Linked DNA regions of Pelodiscus sinensis. The protein of the gene in region 3 purifies or fractionates together with the protein of the main gene of each other region. This does not show direct contact. Links are inferred from orthologs where the notes say so. Each region holds a gene or a part of one and is shown on either strand. Other genes may lie near its edges. The genes, in order: OS9, CALR and HSP90B1.

Region 1 (6,984 bases), on a different chromosome or scaffold from region 3:
TGGATGGGGGAGAGGAAGTAGCCCAGGGCACAACCAGAAGGGTTGGTGGGCTGGCGCGTTTCAGCTAGGCGCCCCGTCAGCTGGACCAGATCACGGAGGATCCGTGTCCTTAGCGCCCATGGCTGGATCCCGTGAGTGATGACGGGTCCAAGCCCCCCTCCCTCTCCGACCTGGAGAGCATTGGATGCTTCGTCCGGCACCTACAACGTAGGACACTGGACTCGAGTTGCACCTGAGCGAGGGCGTGGGGGAATCAGCAGTGGCCGAAGGGGGACTGCCCCAAGAGGGCGGGGCGCAGCCCCACCCTGGACACGGTCACAAGGTGGTGGAGAACGTGGGCGCTAGAGGAATCCCTCCCCGAGCAGAAAAGGGGGGAGTGGACCATGCATTGTTTGTTCCCCGTTAGAAGCAAAGAGGGGAGGCGAGCCGCCGGAGGCGCCGACCCCAAGCGGCCGTCCAGAAGATGGAGCCGGTCCAGGTTCTGGAGTGGATTAAGGAGACACAAAGGCAAAGCCAGCAACAACAGACGCTACTGATCCAGCAGCTGTTGTTGCAACACCAGGAATAGCAGTGGCAGCTGGTAAGAGAACTAGCGGAACAATTCAAGAGTCAGCAGGACCAGTGGATGCGCCAGACCCGGCCCTCCCCGGGCCAAGGCGAGAAGGGGAATGAAGACGACGGCAGTGCACCGCGATTGACAGTCAGGTTGACTAAGATGGGACCAACGGGCGACCCAGAGGTGTACTTGACTACGTTTGAAAGGCTCGTCACCGCGGCCCGATGGCCAGAGGCCCATTGGGCCACGATACTGGCCCCCTACGTAACCGGACCGGCGCAATTGGCCTACCGCAGCTTAAGCGACCGGGAAGCCTTACATTATTACAAACTGAAGGAAGCCATATTGGACCAAATGGGCATTCCGCCCGAAACATACCGACAGAAGTTTAGAGGCGAATGATACAGCGTCGGGACGCGGCCTCACGTGACGGCCCAGCGACTCGAGCCGCTTGGCGTTGGCTGGATCCCGAACAACGTACGGGGCCACAAGTGGCCGAGCTCGTCGTGTTGGAGCAATTTGTAAATATTTTTCCCAGCGGCGGACAGCGCTGGGTGAGGCGGCACCACCCCTCTACCCTGAGCGAGGCCGTGGAGTTAATGAATGACTACGAGGCCGACGAGTTGGTCGAGGGCACGAGCCGGGGGGAAAGGTCTACCCCTGCTGCGCGAGGAGAACCGGCCCGGGGGTTCCAACCCCAGGGAAGCCCCGAGGTGGACGGCAGACGTGGGGCCGGGAAAGGGGGGGCACTGAGGCCGTTAGCTCCCCCTCCCCCGGGAAATACCCCGAGAAAAGCCGGGCTGCCTGGCCGAACGGGGAGCTCCTGGGGCACCTCCCTGTACGTGAACAGCAGGTGCGGTAGGTACTTGTCCCAGTCCTGCAGGTGCTGGTGCATAAAGGTCCTTGGCATCTGCTTCTGAGTCCCACCGAATCTCTCCACCAGCCCGTTGGTCTGGGGGTGATATGCCGAGGCCCAGGTGTGCTGGACCTTGCACTTCTCCCAGGGTCGACATGAAGATCCTTGGTCCGTGAGGACCTCCCGGGGGAACCCCACCCTGCTGAAAATGGTCGGCAGTGTGTCTGCCGCCGTGTCTGCCTCGATGGAGGGCAGGGCCACGGCCTCGGGGTAGCAGGTGGCGAAGTCCACCACCTCCAAGACGTATTTCTTCCCCGTCCGGGTCGCTCTGCTGAGGGTTCCCACAATGTCCATCACCCCCTTCTGGAAAGGCTCCTCTATATGGGTAGGGGCCTCAAAGCAGCCATTCCCGGTACAGGAATCTCTGCTCCCACAGGAACCGCTCCTGGCAATCTCCCCAGGTCAGCCCAGTCCCTCAAGGTCCGCAAGGAGGGATCTGCCTGGACTTCAGCAGCTGGGGCAGGGACAGGGACCTGTTCCCCCCCACTACTTGGGTCCGGAGTCCCAGCTCGGCCGGGCTTCGTGTCTGCTGGGGTGGGGGCCCGTGCCCCCTGCTGGGAGCCCTCCCCTGGGTCAGGATCACCAGCCCCTCACTGGCTCTGGCTACAGGTGGTGACCAGGGCCCTGTGGGGTCCGTCTGGCCACTCCTCTAGGTCCCCCCCATCAGCACCTCCGTGGGTAAGTGCCGGTGCACCCCCACTTCGTTGGGGCCCTCCTTAGCCCCCCATTTCAGATGCACCCGGGCTGTGGGCACCTTAATTGGAGTCCTGTCTATGCCCCTACAGGAGTCTGGGCCAGGATGCCTCAGCCCCCTTGAGATGGGTCCCTGGGCCCCTCGATTCCAGACCCCTCCTTAGACTGGTTCCTTCATGATTCCAGCCCCACACTGCCCCTTCCCCCAACACTCACTTCCTAGTTCCCTCACTGCCCTCAACCAGTTGGGTCTTAGGCAGCCCCCCTGCTGGGAAGTGCTCTGGCCACCGGCCAGTAGGGGTCACTCACAGCCCAAGCACAGGGACCAGTAAGGTACTGACACTACATCACACCGTGTCCAAGGAAGTCTGGGATCAAGGAACCAAGGACAGCCTCAGGCCTGGTCTACACATAGCAATTCACTCCACCCTGCTATGTTGCTCAGGGCTGTGAAGAAGGCACATCCTGTCCAGGGGATGTCATTTAATTAGGCAGACCTAGCCCCTGGTGTAGGCATGGCTAGATTAAGGGAAGAATTCTTTTGTCGGCCTAGCTGCCATCTCCTGGAGAGGTGGATTAACTGCACCATAGAAAACACCCGTCTGACACAGAAGCGTCGACACGTTGCGATGCGGCTGTAGCGTAGACAAACCCTCAGAGCTGGTGACAGGACGGTGCTGTATCCCAATGTCAGTAGGATCTGCCAGGGGCTCTGTGCACATGTAGAGGTTACAGGAGATCCCCCCCCATCACTTAGGCTGCACCCCTAGCAGGGGTTCCACCCCTGTGGCCGAGGCCTGGCCCCCTTGCCTTATGCCCCTCCCCATGGCTTTCTCCATCAGCGTCCCCTCTCCATCACCTCCCACTGAGGATGGGCCCCATAAACCCCCAGGCTGTGTCTACACTGGGCCACTTATTCCGGAAAATCAGCCGATTTTCCGGAATGAGCTGTCTACACTGGCCCTTGAATTTCCGGAAAAGCAACGACGCTCTACTGTACAAAATCAGCCGCTATTCCGGAAAACCTATTCTGCTCCCGCTCGGGCATAAGTCCTTATTCCGGAACACTGTTCCGGAAAAGGGCCAGTGTAGACAGCCCAGTAGTCTTTTCTGGAAAAAAGCCCCGATCGCAAAAATGAAGCTCGGGGCTCTTTTCCGGAAAAGCAGCCTGCCAATGTAGACGCTCCTTTTCCGGAAATACTTATAACGAAAACTATTCTGTTTTAAGCATTTCCGGAAATTCATGCCAGTGTAGACAGAGCCTGCCATTGTGTGGGTCAGCCCCCCTGAGTGGCCCTATGCAGCTTGGCTCCACCTAGCCCCACCCCTGCGCCTGCCACATGGCCTAGGTCCGACTGAAGCCCTGTGGATCATGTGACTCCAGTTTAACCAATCAGCTTGGCTCCCAAAGTTGGCTACAATTTATCTTCCTTCCCTCTTTCAATGCTGCCATCTCTGGGCTGCTCTTGCCCTTTAAGAGCCGGGCGTGACGTCATCATCCAGGCGGCCCTCGCCTTCCTGATTGGCTCGGGCGAGTGCTGACTCGGACCAATCCGTCCTCGCCAGATGCCAGCCCCGTCCCAGCCCCACGCCGGCCTCGCTTCCGAGGGCCCTTCCCCGGAGACTGACCAATGAGGAGCTAGATCAGAGGATTGGCACAGGCGCGGCCCAATGGCGGAGCTGGCTGCGGCGGGCAGGGCGGGCCCGCGCGAGGCGGCAGGCAGGAGGGCGGAAGCGCGGTGCGGGAGCGCGGGGAAGATGGCGGAGGCGCGGCCGGGGCTGCTCCTGCTGCTGGCGCTGCTGGCGCCGGGGCGGCCGCTGCCCGGAGCCGCCGGGAGCCTCAACCTGCAGGAGCTCAGCGAGCTCAAGTACGGGATCGAGATCGCCGCCGAGCCGGTGCTGGCCGGGCAGGTGCGTGGGGGGGGGCGCGTCGGGGGGGGCAGGTGCGTGGGGGGGGGCGGGCAGGTGCGTGGGGGGGCGCGTCGAGGGGGGGCCGGGCAGGTGCGTGGGGGGGCGCATCGGGGGGGGGCAGGTGCGTGGGGGAGGGGCCTGGCAGGTGCGTGGGGGCAGGTGCGTGGGGGAGGGGCCTGGCAGGTGCGTGGGGGGGGTCTGTCGGGGGGGGGCCTGGAAGGTGTGTGGGGGGCAGGTTCGTGGGGGGGCGCGTCGGGGGGGCATGGCAGGTGCTTGGGGGGCAGGTGGGTGGGGGAGGGGCCTGGCAGGTGCGTGGGGGGGCCCGTCGGGGGGGGGGCTGGAAGGTGTGTGGGGGGCAGGTGCGTGGGGGAGGGGCCTGGCAGGTGCGTGGGGGGCAGGTGCTTGGGGGGGCGCATTGGGGGGGCAAGTATGTGCAGGTCGGTCTGGGAGGTGCATGTTGGGGGGGTAAGTGAGGGGGCGGGGGGCAGAGGTCCCAGAGTGGGAGGTGAGAGGTCTGGCCAGGGGGGGTGCTGGAGGGGAGGGGCCCCACAGGTATGTGTAGGGACTGAACCGGCACGGGGGCAGTTAGCTGGGGAAAGTGGGGGCAGGGCCAGTGTTTCTGTGGGGGTTGGTCTGGGGCAGAGGGAGCGAGCGGATGGGGGGTCCTAGGAGCTGGCATTGGTTGGCAGGGTCAGGGTAAGACTGGAGCGAGAGGGGGGCTGGGGTAGGTAGGTGCCAGGGGCCAAGCCCATGTGGAAACTCCCTTTCAGCCCATCTCCCCCATCCTGGGGCCACGTCCGACCTGGTGCCTGTGCAAACACATCCCCTTTACTTGCTCCCAACAACCGACCCCTTCCTGGCATAGGCCGGGGCACCGGGCTCAACAGCACCCTGGCCACTGCCCCGGCGGCCCCCGTGTTTACTTCTCCGGCCGAGTCAGGCGGCTGCGCTTGGGACTTCCACCATCCGAGGCCTCACTTTCGCACGTGCCAACGGGGAGCTGGCGCAGAACGGCCGAGGTGCGGCGTCACGCTGCTGCTCGGCCGTGCGCTTTGAAACAGCGACTTCTGGCGCAGCTGTGTGCACCTTGTTCTGCTTTCTGGCTGCCTGCCTCTCTGGATTAACGCCGCCTGCGGAACGGCGGGGAGGGTGGCCAAAATCTGCTGAAACCGCAGTCGCTTTCTAGCACCTGATTCTTCTCCACGATTCTGGCCTGGGGGAGGCTTAGCTAAAAGCAGAAGTTTGGGAAGTTGGCTTGTGTTTGCATCCGGAGAGCGCCTGCCAGCTGCTGCCCGACATGCTGGCTCGGGCACTTTGTGCTTTGTAAAGGCGAGAGCCTGCTCTTGTGCACATTCAGCATCACGGTGTAAATTCGGAGAGGGGCCCTGCGGCCCTGGGCAAGTCGTTTAGGCCTCATCTAAACAAGCAGGTTGTGCAGCGGTTTGGCTAAATGAGACCGGTATTGAGGAAGTGTTACCCATCATCCCCAGCGTGGACGCTGTCTTCTGACAGTGGCCAAGAGGGAGCAAACAGAACAGGGAATCATCAAGTGATCCCTCCTCTGTCGCCCAGTTTCAGCCTCTGACAAACAGCGGCTCTTTTTGGAACCCTGTTAAAGTCCTGGCTTTCACAACATCCTCTGGCAGGGAGTTCCACAGGTCGACTGTGGGCTACATGAAGAAAAACGTCCTTTGGTTTGTTTAAAACCTACGACCTATTCATTTCATTTGGTGACCCCCTCGTTCTGATGTTAAAAGCCAGTTTGGCGCTCTGCCCCCTAGGCGATGCTGCCTGTCAGAACTGACGCGCTCAGCCCTAGAGTTGCCGTATCGCCGAGCCAAGGTCACGAAGCCGGCGCCAGCTCCCTCGCAGCTTGCTCTGGTCTAGCTTGCGTCCCTGAAGAGCGGGTGGAAGCCACTCTGCCGTAAGCGGCTCAGAAACTGAGACGGCTGCCCCCCCATGGGGATGCACTGGTTTCCATGGGATCCGGGCACAGCTGCAGTGAAAGCCATTCCCGCTGGTGCCTGGGCGAATTGTGGAGCAGAACCGGTTTCCAACCGGGGTTGGGCAGGATTTGGGTTTTGACGAGTATCTCTCTTCTGATTGGCGTGGGGTGAGCAGCAGACTTGGCTTCCAATCCCAGCCCTGCCACTGCCTCGGCGGCCTTGGTCATGTCACCTCACTGTGCCTTAGTTCCCTAGCTGCGTGATGCCGGACGCCTGGTATGGCAGGAACAGGAGGAAGCCAGAGCATCTAGCCACCAGGCTGGCACCTTCCTGCTCCCTCAGACCTCTTGGCCCTGTTCTCCTTCGCTGACGCCCCACCTCCGCCCCCTAGAGCCAGCCGGAGGACGTGGTGGTCGTGGCGTCCAAGTACAAGCAGAAGTACGAGTGCCGCCTGCCGACCGCCGCCCTGAGGATCCACCTGGACGCGGAGGAGCAGCCACAGAGTTACCAAGGCCTGGGCATCTCGGATCTGCTGCGGCCCATGGAGGCTGCGCCCTGCCTCGTGAAGGTGACTCCGAGGGATGCTGTGTGCTTGGGGGGGGGGGAGGTGTCTGCAGGCCTGTTGGCCCCCCTGGAAGCGGGCTGGCTCCTGGGGAGGAAGGGGGTAGACAGGATTCCTTCGGGGGGCCCTGGGGAGCTGGCAGCACCTGCTCCCGGCCTCCGGCGGCCTGGCCGTCAGCAGGAAAGCTGTCAGTTGTGAGGTCCGGGCGGACGGAGGAAAGGCCCCCGTGGCACGGAGCCACCGCTGTCTTTGCCGGCCCTCGAGGGGCACACAGCAGCCCCGGCAGCATGGATCTAAGGGGGCTGGGCTGGGGCCGTGGCCAGTGGGGTTCTGGGGGGCGGGGCAGCTCCTGGGCTTTGTGGAATTGACGCGCCGGCTCCTGCCTCCTTCCCAGACCAAG
Region 2 (7,241 bases), on a different chromosome or scaffold from region 3:
CAGATTGTATTCCCAAAAAGCAGTTTTTGGTGACAAAATATGTCAGCATTGACAAGCCCCCATGTGGACCCTGCTGTTTGTTTTGTGGAGAGGACTGGCTTCTGCCAGTATCCAACACCACTTGCCCTGGTGGCTCTGCTCAGTGTTTTGTGATCTCTGCTGCCCTGCAGGCTTGCACCCCCCCCCCTCCCCTTTCAAAGCTCTGGGAAGTATCTGGCAGTTGAGCGAGCTGCTCTGTTTGGGGAAACAAATAAGGAAGAAATCATTGGAAGGCTCCTGTTCTGACCTGCTAGGAACACAGTGGCAGGCAGGCTGCTGCTGCAGGGGGAGGGCTGGAGAGGCCGCTGTGCTGCTTTGCCGTTCCTCAGCACTGAGAGCTCATAGATCTACAAGGGAATCCCAAGAAGCGCGGGAATCAGCTTTGCTTTCCCACAACTCCGCCTGGTGGGATGCTCCCCCACAATGCTTTGCTCTGTCTGTTAGCAAGGTGCTAGCCAAGTGGCCATGAAATGGTGACAATGGGAGGCAGAAAAACTGGTTTTATCGGTTTTCACTTTCGTTGACTTTTCCACGTCGGCAGCACTTTTGTCGCCAAAATTTCCCAGTGTAGACAGAGCCTAACGTAGCACGATGTGAGTATGGAGAAAACATGGTTCCGTTTATCGAATGGAGGAACAAGTGAAAACAAATGGTGATCTCTAAAATCCAATCGCAGCATGCATCCTAGAGCCTGCACTTAACTAATGAGGTATTTTCCAGTCTCCTAGCACTGAGCTCACCCCAGAGCCTTTCTTCCAGTGCTTTACAGGCCCTCCAGTGCCTATGACCCTCCATTGAGAAGACACGCTGCCAGCAGCCTAGCTCCTCGGTGAAGGATAAGATCTTGTCCCCTCTTCTCTTCTGTTATGTAGCTACAGAATCAAGTTCCTTTCCCCAAAAGACCCTCCCTTTCATCTTTTCTCTTTGCAAGCCCTCACGCTTGACGCTGGCCAAGACAGCAAAGGTCTCTGGGAGCATCTACTGGTTTGTATGCTGATTGAATTGGCCCTGGGCCATGCAATATACACACTCCGGCTACGTCTAGACTGGTATGATTTTCCGCAAATGCTTTTAACGGAAAAGTTTTTTGTTAAAAGCATTTGCGGAAAAGAGTGTCTAGATTGGCACAGACGCTTTTCCACAAGCACTTTTTGCGGAAAAGCGTCCGTGCCAATCTAGACGCGCTTTTGCGCAAAAAAGCCCCGATCACCATTTTCGCCATCGGGGCTTTTTTGCTCAAAACAAATCTGAGCTGTCTACACTGGCCCTTTTGCGCAAAAGCTTTGCGCAAAAGGACTTTTGCCCGAACAGGAGCAGCATAGTATTTCCGCAAGAAGCACTGATTTCAGACAGTAGGAAGTCAGTGTTCTTACGGAAATTCAAGTGGTCAGTGTAGACAGCTGGTCAGTGTAGACAGCTGGCAGCTAGACACAGCCACCCTGACAGAAAGGGAAACATGGTTGTTCCTTCCTGCCTGGGGACTGCTTTATCTCACAGACCTTGAGACATGATTCCTTACATATCCACACATCCGCTTTGCAATCATCACAATGTCCAGTGTCTTGCTGGCTTTGGGTAGAGACTTCACAGGCCACCGTTTGGCATGCTATAATATAGATATTAGCCCCACAAGATCCCTCTAACTCTACACACGCCTCTGTCCTCTGCCAGCTGGTATCAAGGGGTCGCAAACCCCCTCTGCTACTGGAGGCCCTTTTGGTGTATGTGTGGTATATTATGCAATTGACAAAAGGAAGAACCCAGTGCGCAGAGCCAACAGCCAAAAACCTGGTGCATGGAGTGGCAGCAGGAACCCCAGGTACTAGGCCAGGAGCCTGGGGTGCTGTAGCACTCCTTATCCCCCTAGTTCCCATGCCTATGGCCAAAAGCCCCTTAGGGAAGCACCCTGGGATTTGGCCCAGTGATCACCCATCCAGCCTAGCTTCCAGGATCTGAACTGGACTCAACGGCTCTGTTCTGCACAGGCGGTCCTTTGGGGAAGTCGCACTCCCTTGGGAAAGTCACGGTCCTACCAGCTCAGAACACGATAGCTGCTGCTTATCTGGGATCTTCTTCTTCATGATGCTGTGGTTAAGGGAGAGATGAGGCACCGAGATTTGTAATAACGAGAAACCCAACAAGTCCGACCTCTTGGGCAGCCTATCCTTACAGACACTCAAACTAGTTCCCTCTTTCTTTTCCTCTGTAACTTATCTCTCTGGCACACCCTGCCCTGCCATCTCTCTTGGGCCTTGCTGCCAGCTAAACCGTTGGGGTTGCAAAAGAAAATCCGTTTGTGTGGCAGCCCCATGGGGCTGGGGAGCTCGTGTAATAGAAATCTTAGAGTTCAGTGGCACAACAGACCCCAAGAATGGGGTGAGATTGGACAGCCTGTCTGTTATGTAAATGATGCTAGGCAGACAATGATAAGAGGACAAGGACATCTGTGTTCAGGGAGGCCAAAGGTGATGGGCACTATAGAAAATCCACAGATAGTGTGGATGGGGTAAAGAGGGCTGCATGGTGGGGTGCATATGGGGATGGAGAGAGGGATGTGTGTGGATGGAGGGGTGAGTGCATGTGGGGACAGAGGAATTACCAGTGGGGTGTGTATGTTTTGGGATAGAGAGGGGGCATGTATGGAATGCGTGCATAGTGGGGTGTGTGAGGGATGGGTGAATGGGAGTTTGAGTATGGGGCTAGAAGATGTATGTGGGGATGGGTGGAGGGAGGGATGCGTATGGAGATTGAAGGAATTGGTGGTTGAATAGCGAGGTGCATATGGATTTGAGTGGAGAGATGCTATGTATGGGATGGATGGATAGTGGAGAGTGTAGCGGGGTAAGGGTATGGATGAGAATGGAAGGGTGTTTATGGGGATGGGTGGTTAGTGGGGTGCATGAAGGGATAGGTGGTTAGAACATGTAGGTGTGGATAGACAGATACTCTATTAAAACCGTATCTCAGAATCCTCTGATTGAGGGTCCTGAATTGGCCTGGGGCAGACCCCTGCTTACTGGCAGTCTGGGCACAGGTTAGCCAGGCACCTGGCTGGCCATCTGCTGGGTATGTGTAACGTCCCAGAGCTGTTTCCTGTTAGCTGGGGGTTTTGCCCCTGTTTTGAACAGTGTTGTTCTGAGCTCTTAAACAGACAGCTAGTTCCATCTGTGAGATGGCTGCTTTTTTGTGCCAGGCAAGGAATCCCTATACAAACAGCCCCCACAACCCACCTCAGAAACAGCTGCATCTCAGCATTGGGTGAGGGATCCCTGAATGAACAGCTGCTGTGCCCCACCCCAGAAGATGCTGCATGTTAGTAGTAGGGAGGATAGTAAATAAATAAGCCAGGGAAGCTGCACTTCAGAGATCTTTGTTCACACAGCTTGCAAATCGTGTGCACTGCTGCAGGAGGGGCTGTAGAAATGGGGAGGCTTTGGTATTAGAACTTCCTCCACAGTAGAACCTTTAGCTCTTTACCATGCACAGAGCCCTGGCACTGGCTATTTCTCTTCTTTAGGTTTCCTGGACAGACTTTACGAAGGCAAAGATGAAACATTTTGGGGCCTCTGCGAGAAGCCGTGCCTTTAGCTGGGGACTCACAAGCCTTCAGTGAAGGTAGGTTGGTCTCTTCACAGAGGGGAAAGTGGGGCCTAAGTGAGTTGACCGAAACCTCAGGAAAAGTCAGTGGCAGAGCAAAGACGTCCTGGCTCCCAGCTGCTGTCTCCTGGACCCCTCCCAAAGAGAGGCTCGCAGCCATGGACCCCCAGGTTAGCATGCATCACCGCCCTGTACCCAGGTCTCCTTCCTCCACTGGGGTTCTTTTATCACCTGCCCCGCTCGTGGTTATTATGGGCTGGGCTGGGCTAGGGTGACCCCCATTGACCAGGGGTGAGAACGAGCCTGATCAGCTGTGAGCTGGCCCTTTAAGAGCGCCCGAGAGATCACGTGACCTGACAGGCGGCGGCGACGCAGCCAGCGAGAGGAGGAGGCGTCTCCCCCCGAACGCGTGGTCGCTCTTCATTGGCCGAGCCCGACAACCAATTGCAAGCGGCCATCTGGGACGCCAACGTTCGGGGGCGCAGCCTCACTCGTCGCGCGGGGTGCCCGCCAATGGGAGCGCGCGCCGCGAGGGCACGGGCCAATGGGGAGCTGGCGGGGGCGGGGGCCGGGCCGGGCCGCCTATAAGAGCCGTCGCCGGCGGCGGCGCGCCCGCAGTGTCCGGTGCGCCGCTAGGTGGGGGCGTCTCGAGCTGTGCAGCTTCCCGGGTCGCGAGCGTGGGACCCAGCGCGATGAGCCCGCTGCTGGCGCTGTGCGGCCTGCTGGGCCTGGCGGCGGCGGGGCCCGCCCAGCTCTTCAGGGAGGAGTTCGGGGACGGAGGTGAGGGGGGGGGGTCACGGCCGGGGGGGGGCCCGGGGACACCGCCCCCCCCTTTGACTCCTGCACCCGAGACCCGGGCCTGGGCCTGCCCCCACCCGGCCTGTTGGCCTCCTCCGGGGGGTGCGGAGAGTCCTAGAGACACCCCCCCGCTGGGAGGGGCCCCCCCCACCCCTGCTCGAGCATCGCCCGCCTGCTCTGCACGGACCGGTCCGTGCTCGGGGGCACGTGGGGGGGGGGCAGAGCGGGGCCCGGGGGGGGCCCGGGCTCAGCCCCTCTGTGCCTGGAGGGGTGGCTGGAAGGAATCTGGCGGCGGTGCAAGCCTGCAGTTGTAGGTGAAGCCCCCCCCCCCCGCATTTCTCATGCCCAGCTGGAGCCGGTGTCATAATCTGTTTGGGAGGCCAAGAAGCCCCGAGGTGAGCCTGGCTTGCTCCTTTGCTTCTTGTCCCTACGGGAGCTTTGAGAGACTGGCCCAGCCACTGCAGAGGGATGTACCGGCACCCTCAGGGCGCGCTGATCCGAGGCACTAATCAGCAATATAAGCTGTTATACAGATGCTATGTTCCATGTTGGAGGAGGCTGCATTTCAGCAGCAGGTGACTCAGTTCCTGGGTATTGTCTTCTAGTCGGGAACAGCTAGTGCTCATGTGAGGAGGAATGCAAGATTCTGCTCTGCACTTGACCATGCCTGAGGCAGAAAACTTCCACTCGGCCTGCTGAATGAAGTAGGCATATTATTGCGAGGGGGTGTGTGGGCTAGTGGCTGGAGCCCTGGGAGTCAGAACTTTGCAGGGGTAGTGACTTCCTTTCTCCCTTGGTTCCCTGCCTGGTGAAAGAGACTTACTCCAGGCTGACTGGCTTACCCAACCAGTTTGAGAGCTCTTCTCTGGCCTGTGATGATGGAGCAAGGTAAGGTACAGGGCCTTCCTCAGTCAATGGCCAAGTGTGGGCTGGGTCTGTAGGTCACATTCCCACCTTCTGAGAGCTAGGGCCTGTTCAAACTGATGCCTGGGTCTCTTCCCCACAGATGCCTGGACAAGTCGCTGGGTGGAGTCAAAGCACAAGTCAGACTATGGGAAGTTCAAACTGACGGCAGGGAAGTTCTATGGGGATGCTGAGAAGGATAAAGGTGAGAAGTTGTGTGTGCGCGTGCGCGTGCTGCATTCTGCTATCCCTCCGGGGATGTACTGAGGAGATCGGGGCATCTTTTCTTAACTATCTTGCCCATTGGCTCCTCTGGCTGGTTCCTACTTGCCTCCAAGTCACCCAGCACTTCTATAAATACCTTAGCATCAAATCAGCCCAGTACATCCTTCTCATCCTACTCTGGCTGTAATGGGTTAGCTTTCTGGGTGCTGCTTGGATCGGGTGCTCTCTGGGACAGGACTGGCTTTCTGCACAGTGGAGCATGGGTCCATGACTGACAGAACCCCATAATGCACCTATGTATGTGGCTGGAGGAGGGATATCTCTTTGCTGCCTTGTGCCCTGTTAGCTTTATGTTAGTGGCATGGGGCTCTGTATGCAGGCACCATGCTGCAGAGTGCTGAGCATGAGCAAAGAGGCCTGTTGCCCAGATGTGCTGAGCTCTGAGGCCAGCTGAGCTGTGAGGCCAGCTATGTGAGGAATCCTGCTCCCCTTAGCTGGCAGCTCATGACTCTCTCCCCTCCCCTTGCCAGGCCTCCAGACAAGCCAGGATGCCCGTTTCTACGCCCTGTCCGCTCGCTTTGACCCCTTCAGCAACAAGGACAAGACCCTGGTGGTGCAGTTCACTGTGAAACATGAGCAGAACATTGACTGTGGTGGTGGCTATGTCAAGCTCTTTCCCTCAAGCCTGAGCCAGGAGGACATGCATGGGGACTCGGAGTACAACATCATGTTTGGTGAGTGGCTCTGCGTGGGACAGCTCCATAGCCTTTGCTGGCTGTGGATTACCCACATGGGCCTGGACTGAGGTTAGGGTCTCATGCAAAGCAGGGTGGGGCTTGCAGTGTGTGGATGGGAGCTCTCCCAAACCTTGGGAGTGGCTGGGGGTGCTTAGTGGCCCAGCATTGTGCTAGGAAGCTGCTGGATAACCCATGTCATATGGGGCCAGTGGTGTGGCTGGATGGCTTCAGCTGCCAAGGGGGTTCTTTGCTTCATGCCCTAAGAGGTCATGCATTGTTGCTCTGCTCCACCCCAGTGGTAGATGAAGGAACTTGAGACTTGCACCTGAAATACAAACTCTGTCCCGTAACTCCCTGGGATGGTTTCTCCTGAGAATCCTAGAGACCAGCCTGTCCTAGATGGCTCTGTTCCCCCAAACATTGCCCCTGTCTTTTCTGCTGAGTGGCCTGCCAGGTTGGGGGGAGGGGAGAGTCTAGTCTGAGCCCCATTCAACACCTACTCTCCCTGCTGAACCTGTCACTAGCTCCACACTGGGCCCTCTATTTGTGAGCTAGCACCTGGTCCTGCTGGGGCTGCATTTGCCAGCTCTCTGCACTGGAACAAAGTGACTTGTCATTTCAGGCCCTCCTGAGCCAGGCTGGTTTGCTCTGCTAAACTGTGGCTTGTTTCCGATCCAGGCCCTGACATCTGTGGTCCAGGGACCAAAAAAGTGCATGTGATCTTCAACTACAAAGGGAAGAACGTTCTGATCAACAAAGACATCCGCTGCAAAGTGAGTATCCTGGCATAGGGCTCCTGCCCTGCCACGGGGGCCTGGAGTGAGATCTCCTTGGCCTGGAGCGGAGAGCCTTCCTCCAGCCAGGTCCTCTGATCCCCGGCTCCTTCCCTTGCCCAGGACGATGAGTTCTCCCACCTCTACACCCTCATTGTGCGGCCTGACA
Region 3 (7,455 bases):
TAGGAGCCTGGGGTCAGCTAGGGACTCCCCAGCTGATCCCAGGCTCCCTGCAACTGTCCCTTTGAACCGCGCATCTGCGCGATTCAAAGGGGTAGCTGCAGGGAAATGCCGCAGGGAGCCCGGGATCAGCTGGGGAATCTCCAGCTGACTCCGGGCTCCTAGCAGCATGCAGCATAGCATGGAGCCTGGGGTCAGTGGGGGACTGAGAGTCCCCCGCTGATCCCGGGCTCCATGGCTTTGAAATGCACAAGAGCCCCCGCTGGGGACTTTTGTGCATTTCAAAGAAGGCACCCACGTGCATACCGGAGTCAGCGGGACTTCCCGCTGACCCCGGACTGTATGTGGAGTTCCACATTCCTTCTTTGAAATGTACAGGAGCCCCCGCTGAGGCCCCACTGGGAGCTCCTGTACATTTCAAAGGAGGAATGCGGAAGTGCCTATCGAATAGTCGACTAGTTGATGGAAATTCCATCGAGTAGGCAACTAGTCAATTAATCACATTTTAACATCCTTACTCCAGACCTAATTAACTGGAACCAGTAAACCTCACCTGTTAAGGGTAAAGCTTACTGGTTAACCTTTTACATTCCTAATAATCACAGCACATTCAATTATCTAAAGAATATTTGCTTTATAGAAATAATGTAACTGATTCTTCAGCCTGAAGACTAAACCATTTCAGTACACTTTACTTTGGTGCTAATGCCTGGAAAGTGATTCATGTTTCATTCCCTGAGAGAGAATGCTCATATTCATTTTGAATGCCACATGTGGAAATATATCCAAGATCTTGAAAACTGCCTTCAATTAATCAGAGGACAAAAAATAACTTACACTGCTTTGCAGCAAAAGGTTTGTAAGACTGTTCAATACTGCATTCATGGCCCTTAAAGTATAAAACAAACTATTAGAAAAGGTTTGCTTAACACTGATGAAGATTAGTTAAGCAAAATTACTTCTTAAAGAGATCAAACTTCCTTTTGGACTTGGCCACGGTTTCTTATATATTGCCTTTGTACTGTACACTTCAATGGAATGTTAATGAAAGTGAACTTCAATATGCAAACAATATAATCAAAGTACAGCAGTCAACACTTAGCTACACTGAATTTCAGATTATGCCATGACCTCTGCATGAACAGGACAAACCCTGCCTTTCTGAAAAGTTTTCCTAACTCTTTCAAATGCTTTCTAACAATTGTTCTTCTTCTGTGTAATTGTCAGATTTAGGTAAATCCACTTTCTTGCCAATAACAGAGTTAATTTAGATCTGGGTTCCATTTTACCCTAACCCCCCAAAGTCAGAGGAGTGGCAATGAATTATTTACATTTCCCATATCTCAAAAAAGTTAACTGAAAAAAAAACCTCACTAGGAGATTGCGGCCTAATCTAGCAGACTCCCAGCCAAGCTGGGAGGGTTGACATGCTTAAGTGCAAAAGAAAGTGGCGGCTGCAGGAATGTTGCTGATTTGGGATGGCAAGTGTCTCGAGCACATTTTCAAAGGAATTAGGAGTCTAACAATGCAGCTGGTGCCCATGGGTCACTGTCACCATCCTTAGGCATCTAAATACCTTTAAAAACCTGGTCCTAACTAAAGATGTTAAGGATCAGTCAACTAGTCAACTATCTGATAAGCAAATGCTTATCGGATAGTCAACAGGCTAGTCGACTAATCATAAGAACATAAGAATGGCCATACTGGGTCAGACCAAAGGTCCATCCAGCCTAGTACCCTGTCTGCCAACAGTGGCCAATGCCAGGTGCCCCAGAGGGAGTGAAACAAACAGGTAATGATCAAGCAATCTCTCTCCTGCTATCCATCTCCCCTCTGACAAACTGAGACTAGGGACACCATTCCTTATTCATACTGGCTAATAGCCATTAATTGACTTAACCTCCATGAATGTATCTAATTCTCTTTTAAACCCTGTTATAGTCCTAGCCTTCCCAACCTCCTCAGGCAAGGAGTTCCACAGGTTGACTGTGAGTTGCACAAAGAAGAACTTCATTTTATTTATTTTAAACCTGCTGCCCATTAATTTCATTTGGTGACCCCTAGTTCTAATTGTTCCTCCACCCCCTTGGGGGTTGGACCCGGGCGCTGCGCTGCCCCTTTGAAATGCTGCCATGGCATTTCAAAAGGGCAGTGCAGTACGGAGCCCAGTATCAGTTGTGTGGTGCTGTCCCTTTGAAACACCATCCCCGGCGTTTCAAAGAGTCTGCGCTACACAGCTGATCCCGGGACAGGGAGGCTGATCCCAGCTGATGTTGGCTCCGCGGTGCTGCCCCTTTGAAATGCCGCTATGGCATTTCAAAAGGGCAGTGCCACACAGCTGATCCCAAGCTTAGCGCTGCATGAGCCTGGGGTCAGCTGGGGACTCCAGCTAACCCCAGGCTCCCTGCAGCACTGCCCCTTGCATTTCAAAGGGGCAGAGCCTCACAGCTGATCCCAGCTGGACCCTGAGCTCAGCAGTGCTACCCCTTTGAAATGCTGCCACAGTGTTTCAAAGGGGTAGTACTGCACTATTGACTAATCGAATAGTCAATGCAAAAATGCATCAACTACTCAATTAGTCAATTACACGCTACTTAACATCCTTAGTCTTAACTACTGTGGGGGTTGCAGGGCTTGGCTCCACCCTCGGCCTCCAGCCCCATCCGGAGTAGGGATGTAATAGTGTAGGGCTATGTCTAGACTTGCATGATTTTCCACAAATGCTTTTAACGGAAAAGTTTTTCCGTTAAAAGCATTTGCGGAAAAGAGCGACTAGATTGGCACGGACGCTTTTCCGCAAAAGCACTTTTTGCGGAAAAGCATCCGTGCCAATCTAGAGGTGGTTTTGCACAAGAAAGCCTTGATTGCCATTTTTGCGATCAGGGCTTTTTTGCGCAAAACAATACCGCGTTGTCTACACTGGCCCTCTTGCGCAAAAGCATTTGCGCAAGAGGGCTTTTGCCTGAACGGGAACAGCATAGCATTTCAGCAAGAACACTGACAATCTTACATGAGATCGTCAGTGTTCTTGCGGAAATTCAAGCGGCCAGTGTAGACAGCTGGCAAGTTTTTCCGCAAAATCATCTGATTTTGCGGAAAAACTTGCCAGTCTAGACACAGCCGTCCTGTCAGATGCAGCCATAAGAGAGGGCTGACAGCGCGAATCATGTGTTCAGGGTCTGCTGCAGGGCACAGTAACTTGCCAGTTAGACTTGATTAACTGATAAGCAAAAGCTTATAGGTTAATGCTATAGACTACACGCATTTCCCTCCCCTGCCTTGCTGGTAAATTTTTTAGCAGGCTAACCAGCAGCCTGGCTCTGTCCTGTCTTGTGATGGGTCCAAACCTCCCCCCAGACAGAGGCTGCTGTCACCCTGCTCTGCTGCCTTTTTATCAGAGGCAGCAGCACAGGGCAACAGGCAGCCCGTCCATGAAGGGGGCTGTTTTTTAAACTCCAGTGTGGAGTGGCAGGGGGCTCCTTGGCAGTGAGGCTGGAGCGGGCTGGCTGCCAGCCCCCACCTTGGGAACTACAAAATAGTCGACTAACGGATAGGAATTCGTGAGGATACTCGATATCGAACATCCCGAATCCACTAGGCTGCAGCTACCAGCCAGCAAGGGGCGCGATGCCGGCCCAGAATAAAGACCCGCAGAGCGAGGCCGAAGGACTATAACTCCCAGCATGCAACGCCTCTCCACTCGCCGAGAATACATGGGAACTACGATTCCCATCAGGCCATGCGGAGCACGGATGCAAGTCCCGGCACGTGGTATCGGGGTGCGATGCATGCTGGGGGTTGCGGCCGTAGCTCTATCGGGGAGTCTGCAATCCACGTGCCCTAAGCCGGGAGCATTTCCCCGCGCGCTGCCCTCATCCTGCAGTAGCCTTGTTTCCCTGCCACTCCCGCGCGATTCCGGAGCGCGTATTGGCTTCGCCCTCTCTGCAGCTGCCTCCGTGGAAGTTACAGCGGCCGGAAGTAGACGTTGCCTTAGTGACTATCTCTAGGGCAAACATTCCGGTCGCCCCGGAAGTACTTCAGATCTCTCCGGCCATGTGGCGATTTTTCTCGCCTTAGCCACAAATCCCATTCGGGGATGCGACACTTGGCCTTGGAATCAAACATTTCCGAGCGTTTAATTTAAAAAAGAAATACACGGCAGGCCGGTTAAACTAGCCGCGGAAAATGATTGGCCGACTCTTCTTACTGGTGACCAATCAGAGGTAGCCACGCTCAGACCGCAGGAAGCCGCACATGGAAGGCTCTGATTGGCGAGGACCAGATCCCGCCCCACCTCCCAGGCAGCTTCATTGGCTGTGTGTTTGGCGTGGTGCGCTCTGATTGGCGGTGAGTTGAGCGCTTCTCCCCACCCCGTGTGCCGGACGGTGATAAGGCTGGGGGAGGGCCCTACCGGGCTGGTCCGGTAGGTTCGGCGCTTTTCCTGAGAGCTCGTGGGGCTGGATCTAGCGAGTCCTCGTCTGAGTCCGCACCGACACCCCCGCTGCTGCAATGAAGCCGCTGTGGGGACTCGCTCTTCTGTGTGTCCTGCTCCTGGCCTGTGAGTCGCCCCCTCCTCCCGCGCCCGCCCGCCCGCGGATTCTAGAAGCTTCTGGCGAGGAGCGGTTGGGGCCGGTGGGGCCTCCGCCCGGGGAGTGACCGGGAAGCCTGGGGACGGGGCGCGGCGCTGCGTGAGGCCGGGAGTTGCCCTGGGGCGAGCAGCCCCGCCCCCGCCCTTCTCCCCGTTATCGGTCTTTGGGGCGCGCGCCTGGCTGTGGGGGGGGGGGGGGGGGGGCAGTGTCTTCCCCTCAGGGAATTGTGCCCCGAGGCGCTGCCGCGCGCTGCGCCCTTTGGTCCCGACGGGGTCTCCGCCCGCGGCGGCGTCACCACCCAGTGGGGTGGGCGGGTGTAACTCCGGGAAAGGGGGGAGGGTTCTTTTTCCAGGTCGCGCTGCCCGGAGCGCTCCGCGCCCTTCTCCCCGCCTGCCTCGTGTCCCCCGCTGCGGGGGCCGGACTGAGCCCGCTAGAGGCCCCCGGGGGGGGCGGAGCCAGTCGGCTAGTCGGTCTCTAACGCTCCCTTCTCCCTCAGCATCGGTCAGAGCGGAGGACCTGGATGTGGACGCCACGGTAGAAGATGACCTGGGGAAAAGCAGAGAGGGCTCCCGGACTGACGACGAAGTTGTTCAGAGGTTTGTACCTTGTATTGTGTAAAGGTCTGTCGCCCCCTATAGCAAAACACTAAAATGCCCCCCCTGTGGGTTACTGCCTCATCCTTTTGCTGGCCTAAGAAGTCATAATGGAATGTGAGAGAGGTTTGTGTTTCTAATCTATAGGCTGAGCCTCTCTAGTCCAGCATCGTTGGGGCCTGACCAATGCTGAACCAGAGAATTTGCCAAAACATAGGAGGTCAGTGTTATCTAGGAGCATTGCCAGCAGTTCCACAGCTTGCTGGGCTTATAGGAGATATTTAGGGGTAAATTGGAGCTAAGTAACGGTGCAGAACAGGCACAGCCAGGACTCCTGGCTACAAACAAACTTTATGGCATATGGAAAACTTGGCCACACCCATGACAGGTGGACATCCTGCTAACTGAAATCATGTCAGACTAGAAAGGTTCAACCTGTAAGATGTATTTCAAGGCAGGCGGTCTCAATCAGGGACATATGTATACACAGATTTCTGCATAGCCCTACTGGTACATCGACTCATCTAGACATTTGCATAGTTTTCCAACTTGGTGCCTAAAATAGTAGGGAAGTGAATGAAAACTAAATTTGCATACAATTCATTTATAGTGCTGTATATGCCGTACATAGAAATGTAATTTCCAATTGATTTATCATATGGTAAAAATAAAAGTAAGCAATCTTTCAATAAAAGAGTAATGTGACATTTTGTCTTTTTGTTGGTTTTATAAGCAAATAGCTTTCAAATGAGGTGAAACGTGATGTTATGCTGGACAAATCAGATTCCAGTAGTGCAGTGGTCTGGAAGGGGTAGCAAGCTGCTGTTTCAGATACCTAAGAGCTTTGGTCTTTTCAGTTGATGGGCTTAAAAAAACAAATTGCCCATGTTTTGTTACTTTTTCTTCTGAAATGAATAAAATTAAAAGGTAGATCGTAAGTAATACTTAATAATGATGTATGAAACAGTAACCAGATTGTACTACTTCAACATAACAATGCAGATTTAACATCTGTCACTGACTTTGGGGAACATGCAAGATAGGTCCACCAATGACTATTAGCAATAATGGGCAGAGATGGTGTCCCTTGTCTCTCATTGCCAGAAGCTGTGAATGACAACAGGGAATGGATCACCCTGTTCTATTCACTTCCTCTGGGACACCTTGCATTGGCCAATGCCAGAAGACAGAATACTGGGCTAGATGAAACTTTGGTCTGACCCATTATTGATGTACTTATGGCTTTCTTTGATTCTAGTCAGCCCCATGGAGTATTAGTAGAAACAAGAAAGCTATTACAATAATACACTGGCTTATGGTGAACACTTGAAATAATAGCCTGTGTGCTACAGAAAGAAAGACATACAGCTGAGAGTTACTTTTATATCAGAGATAATATTATATATTGTGTCTTCAGAGGAGAGTCTTTAGACAAGGGACCTGTAGGATTTTCTGAGTAGAGAGGTCCAGCTTTTACAACATCTAATGCACTCCCTGTTACCAGACTTTACCAGTAGTTTTCATGCTTTGTGCTCCATTGTCAATCAAATCTTAACAGTTCTAAACTGTCATCCTGATGTCATGGTTTGTGGAACTTTATAGTAACCTGTGTGTGTCTGGAACCTCAAATTCAGTTGCTCTTGCCACTACATAGTAACTGAATATGGTCCAATAACAGATCTGCTATCTTTCTCTCCACAGAGAGGAGGAAGCTATTCAATTAGATGGCTTAAATGCATCCCAGATAAAAGAAATCAGAGAAAAATCAGAGAAGTTTGCATTCCAAGCTGAAGTTAACAGAATGATGAAACTCATTATCAATTCTTTATACAAAAACAAGGAGGTAAGCCGGATGTTTATCCAGGGAATGTCAATATGTATAGTTCTCGCATAACATTTATTATTCCTAAATATTTCATTTCAGATTTTCCTGAGAGAATTGATTTCAAATGCTTCTGATGCTCTAGATAAGATAAGGCTAATATCACTGACTGATGAAAATGCCCTTTCTGGTAATGAAGAACTCACTGTTAAAATAAAGGTAAGAGCTGCTAGCTTGTACAATAATCTGCTGATTTGTTACGCACCCCACCCTCTCCCCATTGGAAAAACTTCACTTTTCCTTGCTTGAGGTAACAAATTTTAAGTCTGCATATCCCAGTCTGTAAAGCACTTTAAAATTGTAAAAACTTGGTACCCTGCTATGACCATAAATCATTGGCACGTCTGCGCTTATGTCTAAACTACAGCATGAAGTTGTTCAGTGGTACAAAACT

The links.
Region 1: the proteins of HSP90B1 (region 3) and OS9 purify together in Homo sapiens (affinity purification with mass spectrometry; 6 studies listed by BioGRID and IntAct, with this or other methods). This does not show direct contact. The link is inferred for Pelodiscus sinensis from reciprocal best matches to the Homo sapiens genes HSP90B1 and OS9.
Region 2: the proteins of HSP90B1 (region 3) and CALR fractionate together in Homo sapiens (co-fractionation; 4 studies listed by BioGRID, with this or other methods). This does not show direct contact. The link is inferred for Pelodiscus sinensis from reciprocal best matches to the Homo sapiens genes HSP90B1 and CALR.

What each region holds. Positions count from the first base shown.
Region 1 is NC_134729.1:2,614,373-2,621,356, reverse strand, and holds the start of OS9 (protein OS-9), read left to right. Parts: upstream 1-3,889; 5' UTR 3,890-3,923; coding exon 3,924-4,076; intron 4,077-6,413; coding exon 6,414-6,590; intron 6,591-6,978; coding exon 6,979-6,984. UniProt on the Homo sapiens protein: Lectin component of the HRD1 complex, which functions in endoplasmic reticulum (ER) quality control and ER-associated degradation (ERAD).
Region 2 is NC_134729.1:13,045,273-13,052,513, reverse strand, and holds the start of CALR (calreticulin), read left to right. Parts: upstream 1-4,238; 5' UTR 4,239-4,328; coding exon 4,329-4,416; intron 4,417-5,440; coding exon 5,441-5,542; intron 5,543-6,092; coding exon 6,093-6,296; intron 6,297-6,977; coding exon 6,978-7,072; intron 7,073-7,195; coding exon 7,196-7,241. UniProt on the Homo sapiens protein: Calcium-binding chaperone that promotes folding, oligomeric assembly and quality control in the endoplasmic reticulum (ER) via the calreticulin/calnexin cycle.
Region 3 is NC_134711.1:98,350,903-98,358,357, reverse strand, and holds the start of HSP90B1 (endoplasmin), read left to right. Parts: upstream 1-4,365; 5' UTR 4,366-4,506; coding exon 4,507-4,555; intron 4,556-5,082; coding exon 5,083-5,182; intron 5,183-6,880; coding exon 6,881-7,022; intron 7,023-7,103; coding exon 7,104-7,220; intron 7,221-7,455.